Arabidopsis thaliana: one gene and its partner. The protein of the gene in region 1 interacts with the protein of each later gene in a pairwise test. Each region holds a gene or a part of one and is shown in the gene's direction. Other genes may lie near its edges.

What was found.
Region 2: the proteins of AT2G17150 (region 1) and AT4G24700 interact in a two-hybrid assay, tested with the Arabidopsis thaliana proteins (one large-scale study listed by BioGRID).

Annotation. Positions count from the first base shown.
Region 1 is NC_003071.7:7,466,138-7,473,563, reverse strand, and holds AT2G17150 (Plant regulator RWP-RK family protein), read left to right. Parts: upstream 1-1,977; 5' UTR 1,978-2,389; exon of another isoform or gene 2,390-2,690; intron 2,691-2,869; 5' UTR 2,870-3,030; coding exon 3,031-3,864; exon of another isoform or gene 3,865-4,145; coding exon of another isoform or gene 4,146-4,214; coding exon 4,215-4,262; intron 4,263-4,341; coding exon 4,342-5,350; coding exon of another isoform or gene 5,351-5,433; exon of another isoform or gene 5,434-5,676; coding exon 5,677-6,515; 3' UTR 6,516-6,877; downstream 6,878-7,426. Other genes in the region: AT2G17160 (Interleukin-1 receptor-associated kinase 4 protein), read right to left, coding at 1-40, 778-810. UniProt on the Arabidopsis thaliana protein: Probable transcription factor.
Region 2 is NC_003075.7:12,743,760-12,746,876, reverse strand, and holds AT4G24700 (uncharacterized protein), read left to right. Parts: upstream 1-1,524; 5' UTR 1,525-1,638; coding exon 1,639-2,070; 3' UTR 2,071-2,307; downstream 2,308-3,117. Other genes in the region: AT4G24710 (pachytene checkpoint-like protein), read left to right, coding at 1-46, 125-195, 295-385, 505-632, 740-868, 985-1,125; NBR1 (ubiquitin-associated (UBA)/TS-N domain-containing protein / octicosapeptide/Phox/Bemp1 (PB1) domain-containing protein), read right to left, coding at 2,675-2,776, 2,855-3,117.

The DNA of each region.
Region 1 (7,426 bases):
TCAGCTCAGTAACAAACTTTCCGTTTCTCCTCACAGGAGCCTAAAAATAGGAGGATAACAACTCAGTAATATGTGTCTTGTGTGGCAAGAAATTAAGGATTACTATATCACAACTAATTTACTCAGCAGAAATGTGACTTGTGTTGCAAGGAATTGAAAAAGACAGATTCTCTAAGGATTAAAGTCACAAAGTCAAGATGAATGGCTTACATGGTTTGAAACAGAATGGCTTACATGGCTTGGAGGAATTCGCTTTCCAGTTAGCAGATTCACAATGATATTTAGTACCAAATCAATGTCACACTTTTAGGGTTCACGATTCCTACAATAAGAATATATTATATAACATCACATTCAGATATGAATAGTATGAAGAGACAAGCAAGAACTGATTACCTCTTGTTCTTTGACTTCAACATATCCATTAAGCAAATAAAAACAGTTAAGCATACTTAATTAGATCATTAAGAAGGCATAAGCTTGAAAATGTTGTTTCGTATACCTTATCAAACAGAACCGAGTAAGCACTTAAGTTACCGTACGATAAAACATGTATTATTCCAATAATCCAATGCTTCTATTCGATTGTACGGGAAATTATTATATGTATCTTTGAAAACGCCTTGTATGCACCAAGATAAGGACATAAAATTTAGTTAAATCACACCGTTTTCATTACAAAAATGTGATATCATCTTATCATGGGCATATATATATATTTTACAGGTTTTTTTTTGCTCACACAAAAATTGTTCATACAATCAGTAATTACTTTACCTCAGGGTTTGGTCTCCTAGCTTTTGTACCCATCATACTCAATCACGAGATGGTTTGACATCACACGACTTACGCTATACATAACGATTAATGAACATAATTTAGTTTTTCTTTCTTTTGTCTCGGATCGATCAATGATATTGATCTTATATGATATCAAAATCTTATAGTACTGGCAGTGAGATTAAAAACACTAATTTTAAACGACATTATTGTTACATGTGTAGATAGGACCTGCCGTATTCAGACGAATAACAAATGACAAATCTAAGAAATAGAGGAAGAGAGAGAGAGAGAAAGAGACGTCGTGCGCATTTATAGTATAAAGTATAAACCTTTGATTATTATTGATACGTTATTTATGATTTACACGAGGATTCAACTATTTTCAAAGAGTTTGATGACCTTTGGTTTGGTCATGTCATTGTCCCGGACGCGGCTAATGGGGATCGGACTATGGCTCCCCAAATCATTGAGGGCCGTTTTGATCATTTAACTAAGCGTCTAAGCCCGACCCGTTGGATATCAATGTACATATTAATATATTATATACACAAATATTCAAGTTTAATCATTAAATTTGGTTGAATGATGAAACCTAAGATGAATGATTTGTTTCTTCTGTTCGCTTTTTTTTTTTGGGTTTGTTTTTATATCGATTTAGATAATGTGTAACATTGGGAAGTTCACAACCTGTCTAGTTAGCACCCAACTTATGACAGTAATTTTTGTCATGAAATTAATAAAATGACGACATTTTGGAACATAAATAGCAATTTCATGTGTAAGAATAAATATTACCATAATTGTGTGAATCATTATGCCTTTAATGCAATTATTTATATATCGATCATATATAGATTCCATCCTATATACAAAATGTTTTAAACTTTGAGACTCGAGCTGATGTCAGAAAGAATATTCATATAAGAGAAATCGAAAATAAAGTATTAAAGGTCAAACTATATTGATGAACGAACGAACCTGTTCAACACGAAAGACATGTCTTCTCTAAGAAATGATCTTGATCCGATTGATACAGCCAAGTTCTAACCAATGAAACATCCCCGAATAAAAAAACACAAAGTACCGACGAAGAAATAAAACAAAGTGTACGCATACGTAATCACCACAACTGTTATAGTAATAATAATAATAATCTTATACGAATTAATTATGATTAGGGGCAACAAAGAGGAGGTCAGAATAACACCAATCACACGATTAAATAAGAACATTTAACCATCAGGCTCCAAACCAAAACTTAGAAACTTGTTTTTTTTTTTTGTTTCCTTCTTTGATCTTTCTTTCAGAAGAAAAGATTGATTTAAATTTGAGAAACCAAGCGACTGTTTGTTTACTTTCTTTATTATTACAGATTTACAGGTACAGACAAAGTTGTATGTAAGTGTGATTAGAACAGTGGATGCTCTTATCACGGGTCCACTTGCTCTCTAAAAAGAATATTGAAGCTCATAATTACATCTTTAGAGACTAAAACAATCTTAATCATTCACCTTCACCAAGTACTTGTGTCCAGAAGAAAAAGAAGGAAAAAAAGAACACACCATTCAAGAAAGAGAGAAGCTTCTTGTGATAAGAAATTTCACAGGTTTTGTTTTTGTTTTGTTTATATATATTCTCAGATTTGATTTTGCTTACCATTATATGTATGAAGAAATAGAGAGACCAATTACTTTTTACATTAGACAGAGTAAAATCCAGTCTGTGCATCTTCTCAATGTTTTTTTTTTGTTTGTTGGTGCTTTCTCTAAGTGTTCTTGGGTATAGGTCCCAAAGTGAAGCTTTTTCTGTTTCTTTGTGCAAACAAATCTTGATAAAGTTAGTAACTTTTGGTGAAAATCTTACCCTTTCATGGACAATCAGATTTGATTTCGTTTCCATGTCCATAGGTGAGAATTTTGTAATTGAAATTGATGGCACTCTACTTTGATTGATGGATACCTTCTTAAGTCAACTCTTCATTGAAAGCGAAGCTACTTATATAGATTATATAGCATCTCTATGATATGATTCTTCTCTTGTCTTATTCTTGGGTGGGTCTTTGACAATGTTTCTGCAACTTTTTCAGATTGGGTTTTAACATTCCAAGGAGAGGACTTTGTCTTGTCTCTATTCATCTTCAAGACCCTTATGAGTTTCGGTTCTTGAGTAAACAACAGCTAAGCACAGTCTCTGAGAACTTGAGGATTTGGTAGTATCTGTTGGAGGTATAAAAACGAATCTTTAGACATGGAAGATGATGGTGGTAGTGATGGAGGCGAAGGAAATGGTGGGTTTTCACCTAATTCTAGCTTTGGGGCATTCGCTGACACTGCCATGGATTTGGATTTCATGGATGAACTCTTGTTTGATGGATGTTGGCTAGAGACAACAGATAGTAAGAGCTTGAAGCAGACAGAACAATCTCCTTCAGCTTCTACCGCCATGAATGACAATAGCCCTTTCCTCTGCTTTGGTGAGAATCCATCTCAAGATAATTTCTCTAATGAAGAAACAGAGAGAATGTTTCCTCAGGCTGAAAAGTTTCTCCTAGAAGAAGCTGAGGTGGGAAAAAGTTGGTGGATTGCTCCAAGTGCAAGTGAAGGCCCGTCTTCATCTGTGAAGGAGAGGCTACTACAAGCTATTAGTGGTCTTAACGAGGCGGTGCAAGATAAGGACTTCTTGGTTCAGATATGGGTGCCAATTCAGCAGGAAGGGAAGAGCTTTCTTACTACTTGGGCTCAGCCACATTTATTCAACCAAGAATACTCCAGCCTTGCAGAATACAGACATGTTTCAGAGACTTATAATTTCCCGGCTGATGAGGGTATGAAAGATTTTGTGGGTCTTCCCGGTCGTGTTTTCTTGCAGAAGTTTCCTGAGTGGACTCCTGATGTGCGTTTCTTTAGAAGAGATGAATATCCACGCATCAAAGAAGCACAAAAGTGTGATGTTCGTGGTTCACTTGCCCTTCCTGTTTTCGAAAGAGGTAGTGGGACTTGTTTGGGTGTTGTTGAGATCGTCACAACAACTCAGAAGATGAATTACCGGCAAGAACTTGAGAAGATGTGTAAAGCTCTTGAGGTTTTGCCTCTACCTCAAACTACTCTATAGATCCCGCAACGCTTACCTCACATGTTTAGACCCATACAACCAGTAAACCTCATGCTTGAATGTATCTTTCACTGGATGGCTTTCTCTGTTTGCTCATTATTCAATTCCTCACATTTGTCCAGTTTGTTTTTTGGTTTTCTTTAGAGTCCAACAACATCTTCTGCATACGTTTGTACTTTGATTGTTCTACATCTTTCTTTCTGCATCATGTCTCCTCCTGTCAGTCATTCAGCCATAATCTTCTTTGATTAATGTCTGTGATAACAGTGAGAAGTTTTGTTTATGTGCCACAACAGTCTAAAGACGCTGCTGTTTTGCAGGCCGTCGATCTAAGGAGTTCAAGTAACTTGAACACTCCAAGCTCTGAGGTGCATTAACTGGATTCTTAGTTCATTCAGCTCCTAGAAACAACGATATGCATTGCTAAGGTCATACTCCATGTTTCAGTTTCTGCAGGTCTATAGTGATTTCTACTGTGCTGCATTACCTGAAATAAAAGATTTCCTGGCCACAATCTGCAGATCATATGATTTTCCTCTAGCTTTGTCATGGGCGCCGTGTGCTCGGCAAGGGAAAGTTGGTTCCCGACATTCTGATGAGAACTTCTCTGAGTGTGTTTCAACAATCGATTCTGCTTGTTCTGTCCCCGACGAACAGAGCAAAAGTTTTTGGGAGGCATGCTCTGAACACCATCTGCTCCAGGGGGAAGGCATTGTTGGGAAAGCATTTGAAGCCACCAAACTCTTTTTTGTGCCCGAAGTGGCCACATTTAGCAAGACTAACTACCCCCTTGCACACCACGCCAAGATATCTGGACTACATGCTGCTTTAGCAGTTCCATTAAAGAGCAAATCTGGTTTGGTTGAGTTTGTGTTGGAATTTTTCTTTCCGAAAGCATGCCTTGACACTGAAGCGCAACAGGAAATGCTCAAGTCACTATGTGTGACACTGCAGCAAGATTTCAGGAGTTCAAATCTTTTCATCAAAGACCTAGAGTTAGAAGTCGTATTACCTGTAAGAGAGACAATGCTCTTCTCAGAAAACCTGCTATGTGGAGCAGAAACCGTAGAGTCGTTGACAGAAATTCAAATGCAAGAATCCTCATGGATCGCCCACATGATAAAGGCAAACGAGAAGGGTAAAGATGTATCACTTTCTTGGGAGTACCAGAAAGAAGATCCTAAAGAGCTCTCATCTGGCCGGGAGAACAGTCAGCTTGATCCAGTCCCCAATAATGTTCCTTTAGAAGCTGAGCAATTACAGCAAGCATCAACTCCAGGACTCAGAGTCGACATCGGTCCAAGCACAGAATCAGCTTCGACTGGTGGGGGAAATATGTTAAGCAGTAGGAGACCAGGGGAGAAAAAAAGAGCAAAAACAGAAAAGACCATTGGCTTGGAGGTTCTTCGACAATACTTTGCTGGAAGCCTCAAGGATGCAGCCAAGAGCATTGGTGGTAAGAGAATGTTGTACACTGCTGGTGACATAGCCCCATTCTTTATGAATTTTGATTCTTATTGTTTCTTGGGAAAAGCATAACCATTACGTTCATTAGTCAAAACCCAAAACATTCCAAATGAATATGTTGAACAAAAATTCATGCCTCAGGATATGTGAAAACTCCATGGCCAATATACATAAATATCAATGAAACCAGAAGTCAGTCTTACATTATATCTATGTGGTAGTGGATCAATCATCATGCTCTACAAACATTTTCATCATGGCTATTTATCTGTCTCTCAGACAGTGATCTGACAAGGTTTCGTTCTTGTGTTGCAGTTTGTCCAACTACCTTGAAAAGGATATGCAGGCAACATGGAATAATGCGATGGCCCTCCCGAAAAATCAAGAAGGTTGGGCATTCGTTGAAGAAACTCCAACTAGTTATGGACTCTGTCCAAGGTGCGCAGGGCTCTATCCAACTCGATTCATTCTATACAAGCTTCCCAGAGTTGAACTCCCCAAATATGTCTAGCAATGGCCCTTCCTTGAAGAGTAATGAACAGCCAAGTCATTTGAATGCTCAAACCGATAATGGTATTATGGCAGAGGAAAACCCCAGGTCACCATCATCTTCTTGCAGCAAGAGCTCTGGTTCAAGCAACAATAATGAGAATACTGGAAACATTCTAGTTGCTGAGGATGCTGATGCGGTGTTAAAGAGAGCTCATAGCGAAGCACAACTGCATAATGTGAATCAGGAGGAAACAAAATGTCTTGCAAGAACCCAGAGCCATAAAACATTCAAGGAGCCTCTTGTTCTTGATAATTCATCTCCATTAACAGGTAGTAGCAACACGAGTTTAAGAGCTAGAGGTGCCATCAAAGTGAAAGCGACATTTGGTGAGGCCAGAATACGGTTTACCTTACTCCCGAGTTGGGGCTTCGCAGAGCTGAAGCAAGAGATTGCTAGGCGTTTCAACATAGATGACATTTCCTGGTTTGACCTTAAGTACCTGGATGATGATAAGGAGTGGGTTCTTCTGACATGTGAAGCGGATCTCGTGGAATGCATTGACATATATAGATTAACACAGACCCACACAATTAAAATAAGTCTGAACGAAGCTTCTCAAGTCAAGCTAAGTGGTTCTTTTGGCAACACTGGTCTTTCCTGAAAAACATTAAACGAAGTTTTGTAACTGCAAAGCACCAGGAAGATTCTACTGATTTTTTTAGCTTTTGTAGAAATCTCACTTACCTTTTCAGCATGGGAATCCTGTATAAACATATTTCCAGTTCCCTGAACAACATTTTGGAAGTGGCAGTAGTAACTGGTCTCCTGTATTGCCCTAGCAGATTTTTGTATAAAAGAGATGAATTCCATAGACTTGTATTTTATGCATGTACAATCTTATTGTCTGGTTTCTTAAACTCTGCAAGACTGGAACTATGGCGATTGAAAAATTCTGTGTGTTTCGCTTATTTATTTTTGGGACATGTCTGGTTACAGGATACTATCTAGTCCATGATTGCATTGATGTACATGGAAAATAATGTGCCGGGATTCAAGAATATCCATTTCATGATATTGATTATGAGATTAAACATTTAAAACTGATATTGTAAAAACAGGAAAAAATAATCTGTATGGCTATGTTTAAGAAGAAACCTAGTTCCAATTAAGCAGCTAACACTTGGTGGTCTTCCACGTTTTATAAAACTTAGTCTCTTTGTATCCCCACTACAAACTCCTACTGTTCCAGAACCAGAAAATGTGCCGACAGAAAGCACAAGAAAGCTTACATTTTCTCCAATAATGTAGATTGTGTTCCTCCCACCCAAAATTCAAAGTTGGGCTCAAATTCTTTATGAAAGCAGGCAGCTCTTATGTTTAAACGTCGTTCTAACAAGGATATATTTGTCCAGCCATGTCGTCTTGTCTGGTTCTACCAGCTTAGCTACAAAGACAGGAAAACAGAAGGTGAGGGTCCAATTCTAAAATATTTTTCCACTGAACATGAAGGTTATTAAAAATAGATTGGATTCCTCAACATTATCCGTGATACTTTTACCAGAGAGTTATATT
Region 2 (3,117 bases), on another chromosome or scaffold:
CAAGAGATGGTGGAGGAAGATGGAAATCTGGTATTTGTTTTGATCGGTGAGTTATGATTTTTTCATAACTTTTTATATTTGCATGCTTATTTCTTGTGTAGGCCTGAGATTGTTTTGCCTGCAGATGAAGTAGAAAGTCTTGCTGCTGCTCGAAAAGCTGCATTGTCTGGCTCAGAACCGTCAGATTCTATCCGGGTAGACCAACTAGCTTCTAAATTTCGTATACACCTAGAATTTGTGAAAAGATCAATTCTTAACCCTTGAAAACCAAATCCCCCTATTCATATGTTGCAGGTTGTGAATGCACTACTCACCCAAATGGACAAATTGAAATCAGCACCGAATGTGATAATCCTTACAACATCAAACATAACTACTGCTATTGGTAGCCTATTTTGATCCTGTCCTCAGCCTCATGACTTTTTCTCTAATATAATAGATCTTTGTTCTTCCGCATAATATTCACGTTTTGTGAGATGTCACAGATCAAGATATTTGTTGCAGATGTTGCTTTCGTGGATCGAGCTGACATAAAAGCTTATGTTGGCCCTCCAACTCTTCATGTTCGTTATGAAATATTAAGGTCTTGTGTTGAGGAATTAATAAGTAAAGGGATCATATCAAGTTTCCAGGTACTATATAAGAGCATATCATATAGGTTTCGAATTCCATATTTTCCTGTTAATACCACTGAAGGAGGAGCAATTATATCTTATAAGCTCCATAAATCTTGGTATAGGGCTGTGATGGACTCTCTATTCCAAGCTTTTCAAGTTTGAAAGAAAAGTTAAGTGAAAGTGAGGTTCATGATACAAATACAGTTCCTTGGTTCTGCAAACAGTTGATAGAAGCTGCAAAAGGGTGCGAGGTTAGTCTTTGGGAATACTTTTATACTGATTGTAGAGCAGTGAGTCAGTGAAAATAAAACTGAGAATACTCTTAAAAAAAGCAAGTATGAATTGGGATCAACTTCTTGATGTACAGGGTTTAAGTGGGAGATCATTGAGGAAGCTTCCGTTTTTAGCGCACGCAGCACTTGCAGATCCATATAGCCATGATCCAAGTAATTTCTTGTGTACAATGATAGAAACAGCTAAGAGAGAGAAGTCTGAACAACCTGAATGACCATTTTTGTGAGGTCATAAACAAATAACAATGAAGTTGTGTTGTTCAGAAAAATGTTATGCTAATTGTTGATTAAACATCACTTCATCATCTACAGCTATGATGAAGGGGAAAATGCTCATTTTATTATTTTGTGATAAAGAAACGCAGATCACGGGTTGAGTATTAAACATGGGCTTCAGATGCCCAATGGGTTATTACCATCTTTAACATCTCTAAATTGTTGACAATAAACGAATCGATGATAAATTGATAATGAACAATTGTCAGCAACCAAGTCATCTGATCTGTTTTTTTTTTATTTTTGTTTTTGTCATCTGAAAATCTAAAGGCTAAGAAAAAACGAGGCATGAAAATAAATAATAAACAAAGAAAGATGAAAAGGAAGAGACAAGACAGAAGACAAGACAGAAGTGAGTAGATTCGAACAAGAAACTTAAGGCTGACATTAAACCTTACATAATAAGACTTGGATCCCCAAAAGTCCCAAAATGGAGAAGAAGAAGAAGAGAGATGAGGAAGAAACGAGAGGCTAAAGATGAAAATGAAGAAGAAGAAGAGGAGAAGAAGAAGAGACTAGAGTTGATGAAGGCAGCTGCGCAGGCTTGGCTCAGCCACTCCCAAACCTCAAAACATACTGTTTTAGAGTTCGATGCGCAGAGAAAGCATGCTTTTGTCAAAGGGAAGGCATCACGTTTCAAAACGGAAGCCTTGTCCGCAAAGCATCATCCGTCGTTTTTGGATTGGGAATTCGGACAGTCGCTGTGGGATCCCTACGAGATTCTTTCGGTCTCTAAGAAACTGGAACGCGAACTCACTTTAGAAGAACAAACCTTCTCTTCTTCAGATAATGATGGCCTCAAGAAGATGAAGAAGAAGAAAACTAGAGACAGCAGAAACAGCCTTAGGAGTTTGTTCACTCGTTCGTCTTCAAAGAGATTCTAACAAACTCATCATGTTACTACTTCAAACTTGTAAATTTTTCTCAAAAAGTGAAATCAATTATGAATGTCTTTTATTGGTCTATTCAAAAACTTTTATTGGTTTTTGAATGGTTTCTATGGATAGAATAACAAAGTTTTGTCAGTTGTAAACAGTTTAATGAAGCCGACCACCATGACTAATTGCAACTGCCATGCCGATGATTCGACCACGTGAAAATGTCACCTGATTGAGAGAGATGAGAGGGTAAATGTGAATTAAAACAGTACGTTGTTTCAAGGAAAGCTCTTCTCACAAACTCACATTAAGCCAAATACAGCTGAGAAATGGAGACCAAAAAGGCCTAAAGTGATGAAATCAATAAAAAAGACTCAACCATTCATTTGACCCGAGGAGCAGAACGACATAAACTAAACTGAAATAAGAAAGAAACCATCCATGTCTTAGATAGAGTTAACATAGTAACATCATCCCAACACAAAGCAAAGGAACAGACCATGTGACGCAGCACGAAACCAAACTAAGAGATCAGGTTTTATTTATAAAACATAATTATTCCTGATAGATAAGAGAGATAGAGAAGAGTTGCCAGAAACCAAAGAGCTCATCAAGCCTCCTTCTCCCCTGTGAGGAGATCCATTACCACGCCTTTGATGCTTCCATTGTTCTTCTTCAGCAGTCTCTTGTTCGTCACATCATCACAGAAGCCCTGCAAAATCACAATATTTTCAACATTCCAATCTGCAAAGTAAGATTTAATAAATTCACCAAGTGCAGACACACTTACCATCTCCTGAAGCTCCTCTAGGATTGGATCCCACTCGCTAACTCCACAAAGAGCATCAACAGACTGCTCCAGGTTGTACTCGTTATCCCTCAAGATCTCCTTGTTCAAATCTATCTCCTTGAAACCCATTTCCTCGAGCTCCTTGAGCATGGTTATCTCCACGTCATTCTTTTCTATATCCTCCTGAAGAGGAACTGGCACGTCTTTTGTAGTAGATGAAGAACCACCAGACAAGACCTCAACAGCAGGCATGCTTGGGAAGT